Linked DNA regions of Caenorhabditis elegans. The protein of the gene in region 2 interacts with the protein of the main gene of each other region in a biochemical or structural test. Each region holds a gene or a part of one and is shown on either strand. Other genes may lie near its edges.

Evidence for each region. The genes of interacting proteins can lie anywhere in the genome.
Region 1: of the proteins of clec-261 (region 2) and famk-1, one has a biochemical effect on the other in vitro, tested with the Caenorhabditis elegans proteins (one study listed by BioGRID).

The regions. Positions count from the first base shown.
Region 1 is NC_003284.9:15,208,778-15,214,974, forward strand, and holds famk-1 (Extracellular serine/threonine protein kinase CeFam20), read right to left. Parts: upstream 4,483-6,197; 5' UTR 4,456-4,482; coding exon of another isoform or gene 4,423-4,455; 5' UTR 4,401-4,422; coding exon 4,307-4,400; intron 3,245-4,306; coding exon 2,965-3,244; intron 2,871-2,964; coding exon 2,661-2,870; intron 2,611-2,660; coding exon 2,518-2,610; intron 2,437-2,517; coding exon 2,324-2,436; intron 2,262-2,323; coding exon 2,108-2,261; intron 2,059-2,107; coding exon 1,916-2,058; intron 1,615-1,915; coding exon 1,318-1,614; intron 1,209-1,317; coding exon 1,054-1,208; 3' UTR 512-1,053; downstream 1-511. UniProt on the Caenorhabditis elegans protein: Golgi serine/threonine protein kinase that phosphorylates secretory pathway proteins within Ser-x-Glu/pSer motifs.
Region 2 is NC_003283.11:20,289,369-20,296,293, forward strand, and holds clec-261 (C-type lectin domain-containing protein), read right to left. Parts: upstream 5,121-6,925; coding exon 4,917-5,120; intron 4,416-4,916; coding exon 4,105-4,415; intron 749-4,104; coding exon 571-748; 3' UTR 520-570; downstream 1-519. Other genes in the region: mlt-4 (ANK_REP_REGION domain-containing protein), read right to left, coding at 1-5.

The DNA of each region.
Region 1 (6,197 bases), on a different chromosome or scaffold from region 2:
CTTTAGCATTTGATTAGAAACACCGTTTGTCAATTTTTAAATTACTTTTCCGTAAAGCGGAAATTTCAAAATCAACCTAATAATCGACAATTTTAATATTTTTTATAATATTTTTTTAAAGAAAAGTGTTCGAAAAATTGACTAACAGAATTTTAACTCAAATGCAGAAGATGAAATCAAGGAAACCTGGTAAATTAAGCCAGAAAACGCGAAAATATTGAAAATGACGTCACTCATTTGCGCGGGAATTTAAATTTAATTTGGCCGCTTTTTTTAATTTTTGCAAAGTTGAAAAATCATAAAAAATTTTGAAATTTTGAAATTTTTTTTGAAATTTTGAAAATTGTTAGCAATATTGAACAGTTATATTCGGTCATTAGGGTCCACTTTTTGTCAAAATTTTAATTACTTGAAACTAAAATTTTTTTAAAAAAATTTTAAAAAATTCCTTGAAACTTGATCTCTGAAAATAACAATTCCTGTACTGGAAATGAAAAAAAAAACACAGAACAATTTAATCACAACATTTATGATTCGTCCTGAAAGTAGAAAAAAAAACAACCGATTTGACAAGAAATGGAGCACTGCAGCCACATTGCTCAGCGAGAATTATATACCCAGTAAGTTTGCGTCTTTTGATAAAAGAAGTATGATATTCAATAGGAAAAAAAAAGAAATGACAAAAAAAGAGCTGAGAATATATAATCATAATATTCAACAGAAATTCTACACAAAACAACTATCAGGTTACTTTTCAAATTCTTCGAGAAATTTTTTCGATATTATAACACCGATTTGTTTTTGATTTGACCTACATAATATGACCCTCATAAATGAATGTTTGACCAGAGAGAAACCGTGGAGCGATGGATGGGATACCTTCTTGTGGGTTTAAAAAACGGGGGGAAGTGAAAAGAAAAAATACAACAATAACAGAGAGTGAAAGAAGCTCGAGACCCGAATGCAACGCAAAGAAACATTGAAGTTTAAGAGGGAAATTTAAAATGCTACTACATGACCTTGGTAAAATTGAGAAGACCTAACGAATGACGACTAAACAGTTTTCTTATCATCCTTCTTATCCTGATGCTCCTCGCTTTGCTCTTCGTCGTTTTGCTCGGCGTCTGAGACATCGGGGTTGTTGTACTCGGCAACTAGAACTTCGGCAACTCCCCGGCTTTCGAAGCATTCCAGTATGTGAGACATAACTGAAAATTGTTTTTTTTTCTTTAAGTTTTGTATTCCCAAATTGGAATTTTCACAGGAAAATATTTTTCAGGTTTTTCGGTAACCTTTCAATATAATTTCAATACTTACTTTTTGCTAACCGCCTTTCCATTGCCGGATAATGCTTATAAGCCAAAATCGGATGGGCTGGATCTTTCGATAATGACTCGTGTAGGGCTTTCGTCAGTGACTTTGGTGTACTGTAGAAATTCATAAGGGTCTGGAAAGTGGATGGACGTAGGATGCAGCATTGTCGGAGCGGGAGAATGATGTCGTCATCGTCAAAGTCAGATCTGCCAAATGCTCGACCATGGTCGAGATGGATCGCATAGGAAGGAAGATCGTTGAACACGTTGAAGGATTCGAAGTGATGACGGTCTTGGTTTCCTGGATGTTTGTAGTTTAGTCTTTGGTTAATAATAAAATGTTAGTAAACTTGTGGTAAATGTGCACCCGACATTGAACGAGGTCCATAAAAAGCACTGTGAGCAGCAAATTCTATATTGTACAGTTGCTGTCTTTCAATTACTCTCCTCATACAGAACAGTTATGAAACTTTAATACTCGTAGCACTGTCAGAAATACGAAAAAAAAATTCCGTACAGTTATTCTATATTTACCATCCATTCGGAGGGTGCAAACACCACCGGTTTTTTATGTTCAAAATTTGACAACTGCAAATTCTTACCTATTAAATAATCCAAAATATGAATATCAACCAGATCAAGTAACCTTCTTCCATGAGCATATTGTCGCTTGGTTTTCACCTTATCCGTGCAATAATTCATACTCGACTGCCATTCAGCTACTTGATTCTTTTTCGAGTAGGTTCTGAAAACAGTCTGCTAGCTATTTTATTATCCATCGGCCTTCAACCTACCGTCTATACGGACTCCTATTATGCTTCCGAGGAACTGCTGACTCGTCGGGTAAGAACACTTGCACACTGCCTTCCTTCATATCAGGAAGACCGCAAATTGCATGTGTCGTGTCGCAGTAATAATCGCATCGTGACACGAAGCAAAAGTTTTTGGCTGGAATTATTTTTATAAAATTGATGTGGTGAACAGGTTTGGTGTCTTGATGTCAACTGTACCTGGAGAGAAGAAGAAAGTCTTCTTGAGTTTTTTCTCTGCTTTTTCGAACAGCTCAGTTGTCATATTGAGAACTCGTCCAACGGTGGGGATTGCTCGTCGGAAGCCGAGCACTCTGAAATTCAACTGACCGATTTAAAAAAAAAAATTGATAACCATCTCTAACAAAAACAAATCCATTATTTAATCCACTAACCTGTCTAAATGGAAAGTTGCGATTTCTGCATGATGTCGTTCAAAATCACTGAAGTAGAAATGATTCGGATCCGATTCATAATCGCGTCCAAATCTGAAAAAGAAAGAAAACAACTATTTTCCGGTGTTCTCTGTTCATCAAACCTCATCGGCTTAAACACGGCCTGCTTATCGTTTTTGAAGGTGAACACAAATTTCACTTGAGTGCCTCCATCCATAATGTGCACGTGTTTGATGGGACTTGTGTTGAGATCGTGCAGCAAGTTGTCAATCATTTGATCATCCGAGTACACCGAACAACTTCCAATGTTTGAGTAGAACCTCTCCCAGTTGTCATCTTCCGGCACATTTCTCCTGAAACAGTGATGAGATTTTTTTTTGCTGGCAGCTGGTGTTAAAATTTTCATTTTCATTTTCAATTTTTGAAATTTCAAAATATAAAACTTACTGTTCAGACTTCTCCCAGAACTTTGAAAGCGTGATGTTCTTCTTGCACTCGTTCTGCCTTAACTGATCAAAATCTACATTTTTAGTGAGATCATAAAGTTTGCGTAAAGTGATTTTGTTAGATGAAAACAAGAAGTTGAATGGATCACTAAGATCCTTCTCGCCAAGGCTTGGAGGAATTGGCTGGTGTGGTAGACTATTTTGTCCGACTGGAAACAAGTCGGGACTCTGGTGGCCTACAGCTCGTGCTTCGTTTGATTGAGGTCCTTGTTTCCATTCTCCTGAAAATGGATGCAAGATTATTTAGGAGAAACCTTGTGAATGGTTTGTTTAAAACTATCAACTTAGTCATACAGGCCCAGAGTTTAATAAATATAGTTATCATAAGAACTGTTAGAAAAGAGAGATAATTGAAAGGTGGAGTAGCGCCAGTGGGGAAATTGTTAACAACTATTCCTAAAATGCCGAAATGATCGAATATCATAATAAAACTTTTCAAAAATGTTTTCTAAATTTTTTTATTTACTGTCAAAAAGTGGCAATTACTCAGTTTTTGCCACTTATAATACTGGAAGTCGACCAAAATTATTTTTTCCTACATTTTTTACGCTTTAATTTTGTTTTATTTATTAGGATTTAAACATTGCAGGGGTCGGAACATGCGACGTTGCTCCAGATTTCACCAAAAGCTCATATTTTTCAAAACTGTGGAAATTTGCCAAAACTTTGATCGGAAATTATAAAAAATCTAAAAATGTTTTGGAGTGTTTTATTATGATATTCGGTCTTCTTGGATCATTATTAGTGTAGTTAGACAATATCCCCACTGGCGCTACTCCGCCTTTAATATTATAAAGTTCGAATAGGCCTAGTAAAAATATTATCAAAATGGGTAAACTACGAAAATCTATATATGTAGAACGTTTCAGACTTATTAAAAATTGCAATCAAATTTTTGGCAAACTGCCAGATTTTCAAGAAAATACAAAGTTCATAAACATTTTTTTGTAATTTTTTCCAACGTGTCATTGTCAAAAAGTTTTCTACTACTTTTTTAATACTTTTCTAGGAACAATATAAAAACTTTTGTGGAAAAGTGTTGATTAAAATAGTATTCAAAGATGTCTAAAGTTTTTCCATTTTTTTCGGAAATTGAGATTTGATCTAAATTTTCATATAGACAATAAAGACAAAATTGTCACAAAACTCCCACATGTTATAGGCCACATTTAGGCATAGTTTCTCTCTTGTTTTATCGATTGCTATCGCCACTATTCCTTTCTAGCGAATTCAAATAATCATTTTCAACCAATAAACAACACATATACAATTTTAGAACTTACTTTCATAGTTGTCCTTGGAAAACGAGATTATAACCAGTGTAGCCGCAAAAACTCCGATCGCCAAAGTGAATAATCGCTTTATATTGCACCGCATGTCTTTCTGGACTTTTCTCGTCTCACTTCTTGCTCTTTGCTGGTTTCAGCTTCATCAAACGCCGGCTCCCAGTTTTGTGACACTGCAAAATGAGCATTTATGGGGTGAGGTTCATAAGCTATTATAGATAAATAATGGGGTAGAATGAGGAAACAAGAGATCAAAGCGATTAATTAATAATTTACTCCAGCAATATATACCAATTACAATTCAATTCTAGTCCTATAAATTCAATTAAAGTTTCTTCTAATGGACAGAAGAGGGCAAGTGGGGGGAGAGAAAAAGAAACTGCCACACTGTTTTCGAGAAACATCACCACACGCACGCCATCAACCACCTCCTCCTCCTCCATCCACTCCTAAACTGACAGACCCGCACACCTTGTATATTGTAAAAACGACAAAACATTGGAGAGGCGAAGAGGCTGTAAACATCGGCGAATGATGTGGAGGGAAGGGCCTGGGAACGTCAAAGGTGTGTGTGGTTCGTTTCTTCGGCAGAGTCGCTGTGTGTGTTTGCTCGTAAAGTGCTGGGAAGCAAGAAATTGACGGAGGATTGCCCACCTTGCGTCACCGAACTTATTGGTGGTAAATGGGACTTTTTGGAAAATTAGCTGGGTCATCATTTGGGATGTGGTCAGGGTGGAGAACGAGATTGAGATTTTTGATATCCCACATCTAGAAATGATCCGTTATATGTATATTATGAGCCTTTAATAAGAGATGAGCACCAAAATTTGATTTATTATCCGTTTAAAAAACAGAAAATTTGGTTCGCTTTTGAGAATATTTTATGTAGAAAATTAAACAAAAACTGTAAGTTTGACAGGAAATTTCAATTAGCGACGAGGAAAAATCAACGACAATACTTTTACTAAATAGTTTTTTTAATTGGAAAAACAACACTTATTTTATCAAAATTTATAAATCGGACCAATTCAAGTTTGTTAATTTGTTACTAATTTGAAAAAAAACTCATAATTAAAATCAATTTTGCTCCCATGCAGATATATTTACTGCTCAAATAAACTAGGCTTAAACGTTTTACGATCAAACGTGTGGTTTTACATAAGCTTTTAAAATCTTAAAGTGGAGTAGCGCCAGGGGGAAATTGTTAAAAACCATTCCTATGGTGCCAAAATAACCGAATATCATAATAAAACTTTTCAAAAAAGTTTTCAAAATTTTTTTATTTACTGTCAAAAAGTGACAATTACTCAGTTTTTGCCACTCATAATTTTGGATTTCGACCAAAAAAAAATTTGTTTTTCTGCATTTTTTATATTGTAATTTTGTTTTATTTATTTGGATTTAAACATTGTAAGAGTCAAAACATACGACATTGCTTTGGATTTCCTCAAAAGCTCATATTTTTCAAAAATTTGTCAATTTTCCAGAACTTTGTCCGGAAAAAAAAGGAGTGGTTGATTATGATATTTGGTCGTTTTGGATCATTATAGGTTTATTTAGAAACAATCCCCACTGGCGCTACTCCACTTTTAAACATTGCACATAGAGAGAAAAATATGAAAAATAAGTACGAATCTGAAATTTCAATATTTCTATTTTAATTCCAAATCTGATTCAAAATTTAAAGATTTTTTCTTTCTATTTTCTAACCATAAAATAAAAACATTGGATCAAGAAAAAATAATCTTTCTCAAATTGTAGTCAGAATGATGATATCAGAGAAAAACAAATTTCAAGCAAAACAAAAACTATATGATAAGAAAGATGAAGAAAAAAATTGATTACACAGTTAACTGATGTTTAAACTTTTTAAATATAATGCCAACTA
Region 2 (6,925 bases):
TCCATTTATAAATCAATATTTAAAAAATATGATAAAAATATAAATTAGTGACGAGAATAAAGAGAAGATGTAGTGATCGAGAGACTGGAGACGCAGACAGCAAAAAATGATAAAAAGAAATCCACGCAAGAAACAGGTTTTATAGTGTATATAATGACATACATATCAACTCAGAAAAATACTGATTAAAATAATTTTGGGTCCTGCCACGGAAACTCTGGGAGTACTGTAGTTTTGGCTAAAAAAATTAGAAATTCCACAGTTTCTGAAAGTATAAATATTTTTACATATTAAAAAAAATCATTTGAAAATTTTAATGATTGAGTAAATTATAAAACTTTGAAATTAAAAAAAAATCTTTAAAAAAAAACATTTTTTTTGGAGTCCTGTAGTTTTGTCAAAAAATGAGATTTTAACAGTTTTAATATTTTTTAAATTAAAAATCTCCTAAAATATGCAAGTCTTGAAATTTTTTTGCTCATTTTGAGAAACTAAAAATTGTTTTAAAAACTTCTGAAAATTTATTTCAAAAATTTTATTTCAAAAATCCAAATAAACATTTAATTTCATTTAACCAGCTGCCATTTTTCCACAAGCAAACATTCTTGTTCCAGGTGTCACTGGAGCAATACACGAAAATTTGTAAAGAATTCCATGTGTGAAGCCAGTTCTGAAGCCTTCCAGGTCATAGGGTCCGGGTACCCAGTTGGGGAGCATGATGAATTGTTGGATGCACGCGGCGGTTCCTCTGAAAAATATTGGGATTCTGGTAAAAAAATTATTATGAAGACTTGAAAAATCCGCTTTTTTTCGAGACAGAATTCAGCTGAAAATCTTGAAAATTAGCAGAGTTATTAATTTTCAAAAACAAAAAAATCAACTTTTTTTTTGAAAAATTCTAATTTTTCTCACATTCTCTGAGCTTATTATAAAATTTAATTTACTACATATATTTAAAAATAAAAGAAATCTGAGAAAGTTCAAATTGAGCCAAGTTACTATTTGAAATTAATTTTTTTTTTTGAAACTTTGGGCCGTCAGGAAAACTCTTTGGGTGTTTTAGGATTAATTAACATTTACTTGAAATTTTGTTGTGCTGACTAGAAGAGTATCAGAGCTACATTTTGAATAAAGTTTATTTGAAAATCTTTAAAGCGAGCGGAGTTTACTATTTTTGAAGTTTACAAATTCCAAAAAAACATCAGTTATTTTGTTTAAAACTTCTTTACTGTAGGTTTTTATGGTAATTTACACCTATGATTCGAAAAAATTTTTTTGTTTTGAATTTTTGAATTAAACAAGTATCTAACTACATCATATATCAAAAATAATTCAAAAATTCAAAAAATGAGCAAAGTAGCTCTAGACATAGACATAACGGCTTCACCGATTCGTCTAATTACTGTTTATAGAACTCCTTCTTGTAAAATCCGAATGACTAACAAACTGCTAATATCCATTTCAAATTTAATAGATCCCCAACTAAACGTTATTATTACGGGGGACTTTAACATAAAAGAAATTAGCTGGGTTTCTAACCCAGTCTCAGGGTCTTCAGATGCCGGTAAACTATTAGCTAATTTTTGTATAAACAACAATCTTCATCAAAACGTCTCAACACCTACGAGAGGCAAAAACCTATTAGACCTCGTCTTCAGTAACTTTCATATTTTAGATATTGAGGGAAGTAGTCCAATTGGGTCTTCAGACCACTGTAAAGTTACATTCAAAATTGATCTTCTTTCTAAATTACCGCCAGTAACCTTCAATATGGCAGACTATCGAAATATAAACACCGATTTTCTAGCCTCCCTTTTCTCTAATCCAGATTGGACCACCATTCTAGGGCATGGAAATGAAGTGTCTCAAAAATATGATAATTTTATCTCTTATCTCTTACATGCGTTCAGTGTAACGGTTCCCTGGATCACTGTTGACAGTAACGAAGGTCCGCTACCAGATTATCTAGTATCATTTCGAAAGCATGTAGATTATTGTTGGAAAACAGCCGCTAATTCTCATTCCAAAGCAGATTTTGATGAGTATATAAAAACCACAAAAAAATTCCGAAAAATGCTCAAAAAGTACAAAAAAAAATAGCGAACTCAATTATTTAAAAATGAAAGGACTCAGTAAATTCTCACATCACTCCAAGTTTGTCCTCAAACCTAGAAATAACATAATCCCCGACTTCACAGATCCCAATGGACGAACTGTACGAACTGATATTGATAAAAGTGAATGTCTGGCTCATCACTTTGAAAGCCAGTACACAAATATAAGTCCTGTAACTACCAATTCTTACGCTCATTTGAATTCTGATCAGTCCCCAATCTGGATAACTGATGATGAGGTACTTAAATTGTTAAATAAAATCCCTAGCTCCCAAACCTTGACCCCTGACGGCGTCCCCGCTAAATTCATAAAACTAATATCCCCTCAAATTGCAAGTATTCTCAGCCAGCTCTTTAATATGTCTATGACATCAAAACAGGTTCCTAAAAAATGGACCGAGTCAATTGCCCTCCCCCTAGCAAAAACGCCAACCCCAACAAGCGTCAATAATTTCCGTCCAATTTCTATAACTTCAATACTGTGTAGAACGTTTGAACGATGCCTGCTTCGCAGAATTCTTCCATTTCTCAATGATACTAACTTTTGGTCCAACAGCCAACACGGGTTTCTCCCTCAACGATCCACCACAACCTGTGTACTCTCCGCTTTAAACGATTGGACATTGAGTCTAGAAAAAGGGGATCAAGTAGATGTAGTATTTTTTGATTACAGTAAAGCATTTGACAAAGTAAATCATTCACTCTTAATTGAAAAATTAATAAAGGCCGGGTTTAACTCAATGCTCATAGGATGGGTTGACTCATTCCTTTCCAACCGTACGTTCAAAGTAAAAGTGAACAATTCTATATCTTCTGTTAGGAACGCCCCATGCGGTGTCCCCCAAGGCAGCGTACTTTCACCTATACTTTTCGGCATATTTGCAAATGATCTTGGTGAAAAAATTCCTAAAACTGTAAAATATATGCAGTACGCTGATGACCTCAAACTATATTGCTCTTTTGATAAAACTAATCCCACTAATGATCTGCAGGAAGCAATCGATGTTATCTTGAATTGGTCCAAAAGCTCATCACTAGAGTTAAACCATGATAAAACCGTTTGCATAAGTCTAGGTAAACACCCTAAAACTCTAATATATAAGCTTGAGGACTCTATCATAAAACGAGAATCTTTAGTGAGAGACCTTGGATTCTTCATTAATAATAAATTGAATTTTGAAGAACACTGGCAAAAATCGATAAATAAGGCAAAATATTCAAGTTATAATGTTTTCAAATCGTTTCATTCAAACAACATAAAGTTAATGGTTTTTCTTTTTAAAACATTCATAAGACCTTTCCTTGAATACGGAATTCCGGTTACAAACACCTTTAAAAAAAGTATGGTTAAAGAAATAGAATCGGTCCAAAATTCCTTCACACGAAAACTTATGTTTAGAATAGCTGGGCGCGTGATTAAAAGGACAGACAAAGTCTACTTAAACTCAGCTGAAAGATCGAAATTGTATGGTCTGGAGCTTCTAGAAGATAGAAGAAAGCTTTTAGATGTAAAGCTCATTAGGAAACTAATAGCGGGCAAAATCAATATAGACCACTCACAGTTTTTTGAGTTCAAACCTTCTGAAAGAACTAGGAACAGCCACGCCTACAGGTGGAAAACTCCCAAAAGCAAACTTCGAACTCATTTTTTCACTCATCATGTTCTCAGTGCTATAGTAAACCCTGCAAAAGGCAATCATTCTTAACTTTCGTTCATCAGACACAAACTTTATCCCTTTTTTGAACACATTAAGAAATGATAAGGTCCCAACCCAAATGACAAGGCCTCAACCCGTTCCCACTCTGTATTATCCCTTAATATTCATATTTTGTATTTTTTTTTCCTCTTTTTTTCTCTTACTTTCACGTTCAAATAAACGTATTCAATAATAATAATAATAATAATAATAATAAAGTTACGTAATTTTGAAAATGCAACATTTTTCCTAGTCTGTTCAATTTGGGACAAAAGTCAAAATTTTCCACTTACGGATAATCCACACTATCAGGCTCTCCAGTAGCCCATTTAAGCCCGGCTGTGCCAGTAGTGACACCATCGGTCCACATAAAGGTGTTCAGTGGTCCACATGCGCCAGCTTTGCAGCCCGCGCGAGTTGTGGCTCCTAACCAAAGTCCGGCAATTCCTCCGCCGGCGGCTCCAAGCTTTCTTCCAGCTTCATCTGCCACAGCCATACGTTCTTTATCGTTTTGGAATCCGGTTAATGTGGCTCCAAGAGCCACACAGGCGCTTTGTCCGTCCTTCTGTGCAAATGAGTTGTCGTTGATTCCGGCTAGGCCGACCTAATAAGTGGAAACATATTAATTGAATGGAGCTACATTGGATTATTAAGCTGCTAAAATTCCGGCGCAATTGCTCAACTGTGAGCCAAAGTACATCTGTTTCAAGTTTGAGGCTTGCGTTGCGGTCGCGTCGCGGTCAGTCTAAAATTTTCTAATGCCTAAATCTCAGCTCTCACTGAGGCTTTAATGCCCAAATTTTTTCATTGGAATAAGAAAAACATGCAAAATTGAATATGAAATTTCAAATTTCAAATTTCAAATTCTTCAAAAAAACCATGCGTCGCGGCCGCGTCGCGGTAGGGCTACAATATTCAAAATACCAGAACTCAGCTCTCTTTGACGTTATTCAGTTAAAACTTTAGGGGTGGACTAATTTCATTGAGACAATTTCAAAATTTGATAAGTCGGATGTCTGCGTTGCGGTCGTAAATTTGAAACAGCTGTATCTCAGCTCCCAAGTGGTCTAGAAAGTTGAAATTTTTAAAGAAACTCTAAACTCACAAAGACACACCAAACTCCGCTTTGCCGCTCAAATCTCAACCATCCAGGGCTGCAATTGCCTCCTCGTCCTGGCCCCCCAGGTCCTGGTCGAGGCCCATGACCTCCGTGCTCCTCGGAAGAAGATGAAGAGTGCCGACTTCCTTTCCCATCAAAATAAATAGCAAACGTGGTACCAGCCAACAAGAATACAGTTACGGATTTCATAGTGATTCAGCATAAAAACGAAGAAAAATTCGAGTATTTGTATACGGTTTCCGAGAGTGATAAAAATGTTCCGGCGCGGGGTTTTTATTGCAAAATTTGATTACAAGCCGTATTTTCTGGTCAAAATATCAGGGAGCAAAGTTTCACTAATCAGAAACGTATTCCTGCTCCATCGTGCGTTGCGGTCGTGTTGCGGTTTTAATTAAATTTTTTTGAAAGCACAACCCAATGAAAAAATTAAAAAAATAGTAAAATTTTTCCTGAATTTGAAAATTTTGTAACTTTGTCAGTTTTGAAGTTTTTCAGATAATTTTTTTTGTATAGTTAATTTGAATTATTTTTCTACAAGAAAATTACTTTAAATTTACAGTACCCTCCAAAAATACAGTACCACAAGAGTTTTCGTGAAAAGACCCAAATTTTCGAAAATAATTTTTATTGGCCCAAATTTTTAAAAAGTTGAAAATTCTGTAACTTTGTCAGTTTTCTAGATTTTCAGATAATTTCTTTTGTAAAATCAATTTAAACCAATTTTCTACCAGAAACATATTTTAAAATTACGTCTACCTCCAAAACTACAGTACCCCAAGAGTTTTCGTGAAAGGACCCAAATTTTCGAAAATAATTTTTTTTCCAAAAATTCAAGTGCTCACAACTCAGCCCATTTTCAAGATTTTCATGTAATTTTTTTGCAGCTTAAACCGGAAATATTACTTTATGATGATAGTGTCATATTTCAAATAAACTACTACGAACTACAGTACCCCGAGGGTTTTCGTAGCGGGACCAAAAAAATTGCCCCGGGCTCCAAATTTTCCAAATAAAATTGCACTTTGGGGGATTCTCCTTCCACTTAAGCTACTGCTCTTCCTTTTCTTCATTCTTTCCACTCAATATATCCTCCCCGCCCTCCCCTTTTCAAAAATTGTTTGCTTTTGTGCCGAGGACCGGGGAGCTCTCTCTGTTCATCATCGCCCCCTCTCATTTTTATACACTTTTGTATGGCTCGCCGAGCAGCTTTTTGAATATTTTTGTATTAAAATTTGAGGTCATAAAAATACAATAAGTTTGTGGAGAAGTTTTGAAAAAAAGGATTTTTTTGGAAATTTTGGGAAAAAAAATTAAAAAATAATTTTTTTTTTCAAAATTTCTGGTTTTTTATATTCTAAAAGTAAGCACATTAATTGCTTTTTTCCTGTTTTCAGTCGAAAAATTGAAGAAAAACAAATTGATGAAGCCATAAGTAAATGGCACAAAGGGTGTACACACATCACAAAAACAAATGAAGCCAATTTTTCATTTCTGGCCTCAATTTTTTTGTCGTTTTTTTTTAAACTAATGAGTTTTTGCATATTTTATTAATTTTTCTCTAAATTCTTTGAAAAAAGTACTCGAAAAATAGTTTTAAAAATTTTTTTGAATTTTCTAAATTTTTGAAACGTATAACTCCGGTTGTTTTCAAGATTTTAATATAAATTTTAGCTCAAAACAAGCCCACAATGAAAGGCTTTTATTCTTTCAAAAAGTTAAAAAAAAGAGCTGAAACTACAGTCACCCAAGAGTTTTTGCGATGACTCAAAATTTAAATGTTTTTAAAATTAAAAACCAAATTTCTAAAACTCATAACTCCTCTTATTTTTGAGATTTTGAAATAATTTAAAACTTAAACTGAGCTCCAGGTAAGTGTTTTTTTAGGTTATGTTACAGTTTGATTTTCCCATTAAAATCTACAGTATCCCAAAAATTTGCTAATTTTGATTCCATTTCAAAACCTCATAACTCTGCGCAAATATAGTATTTTTTAA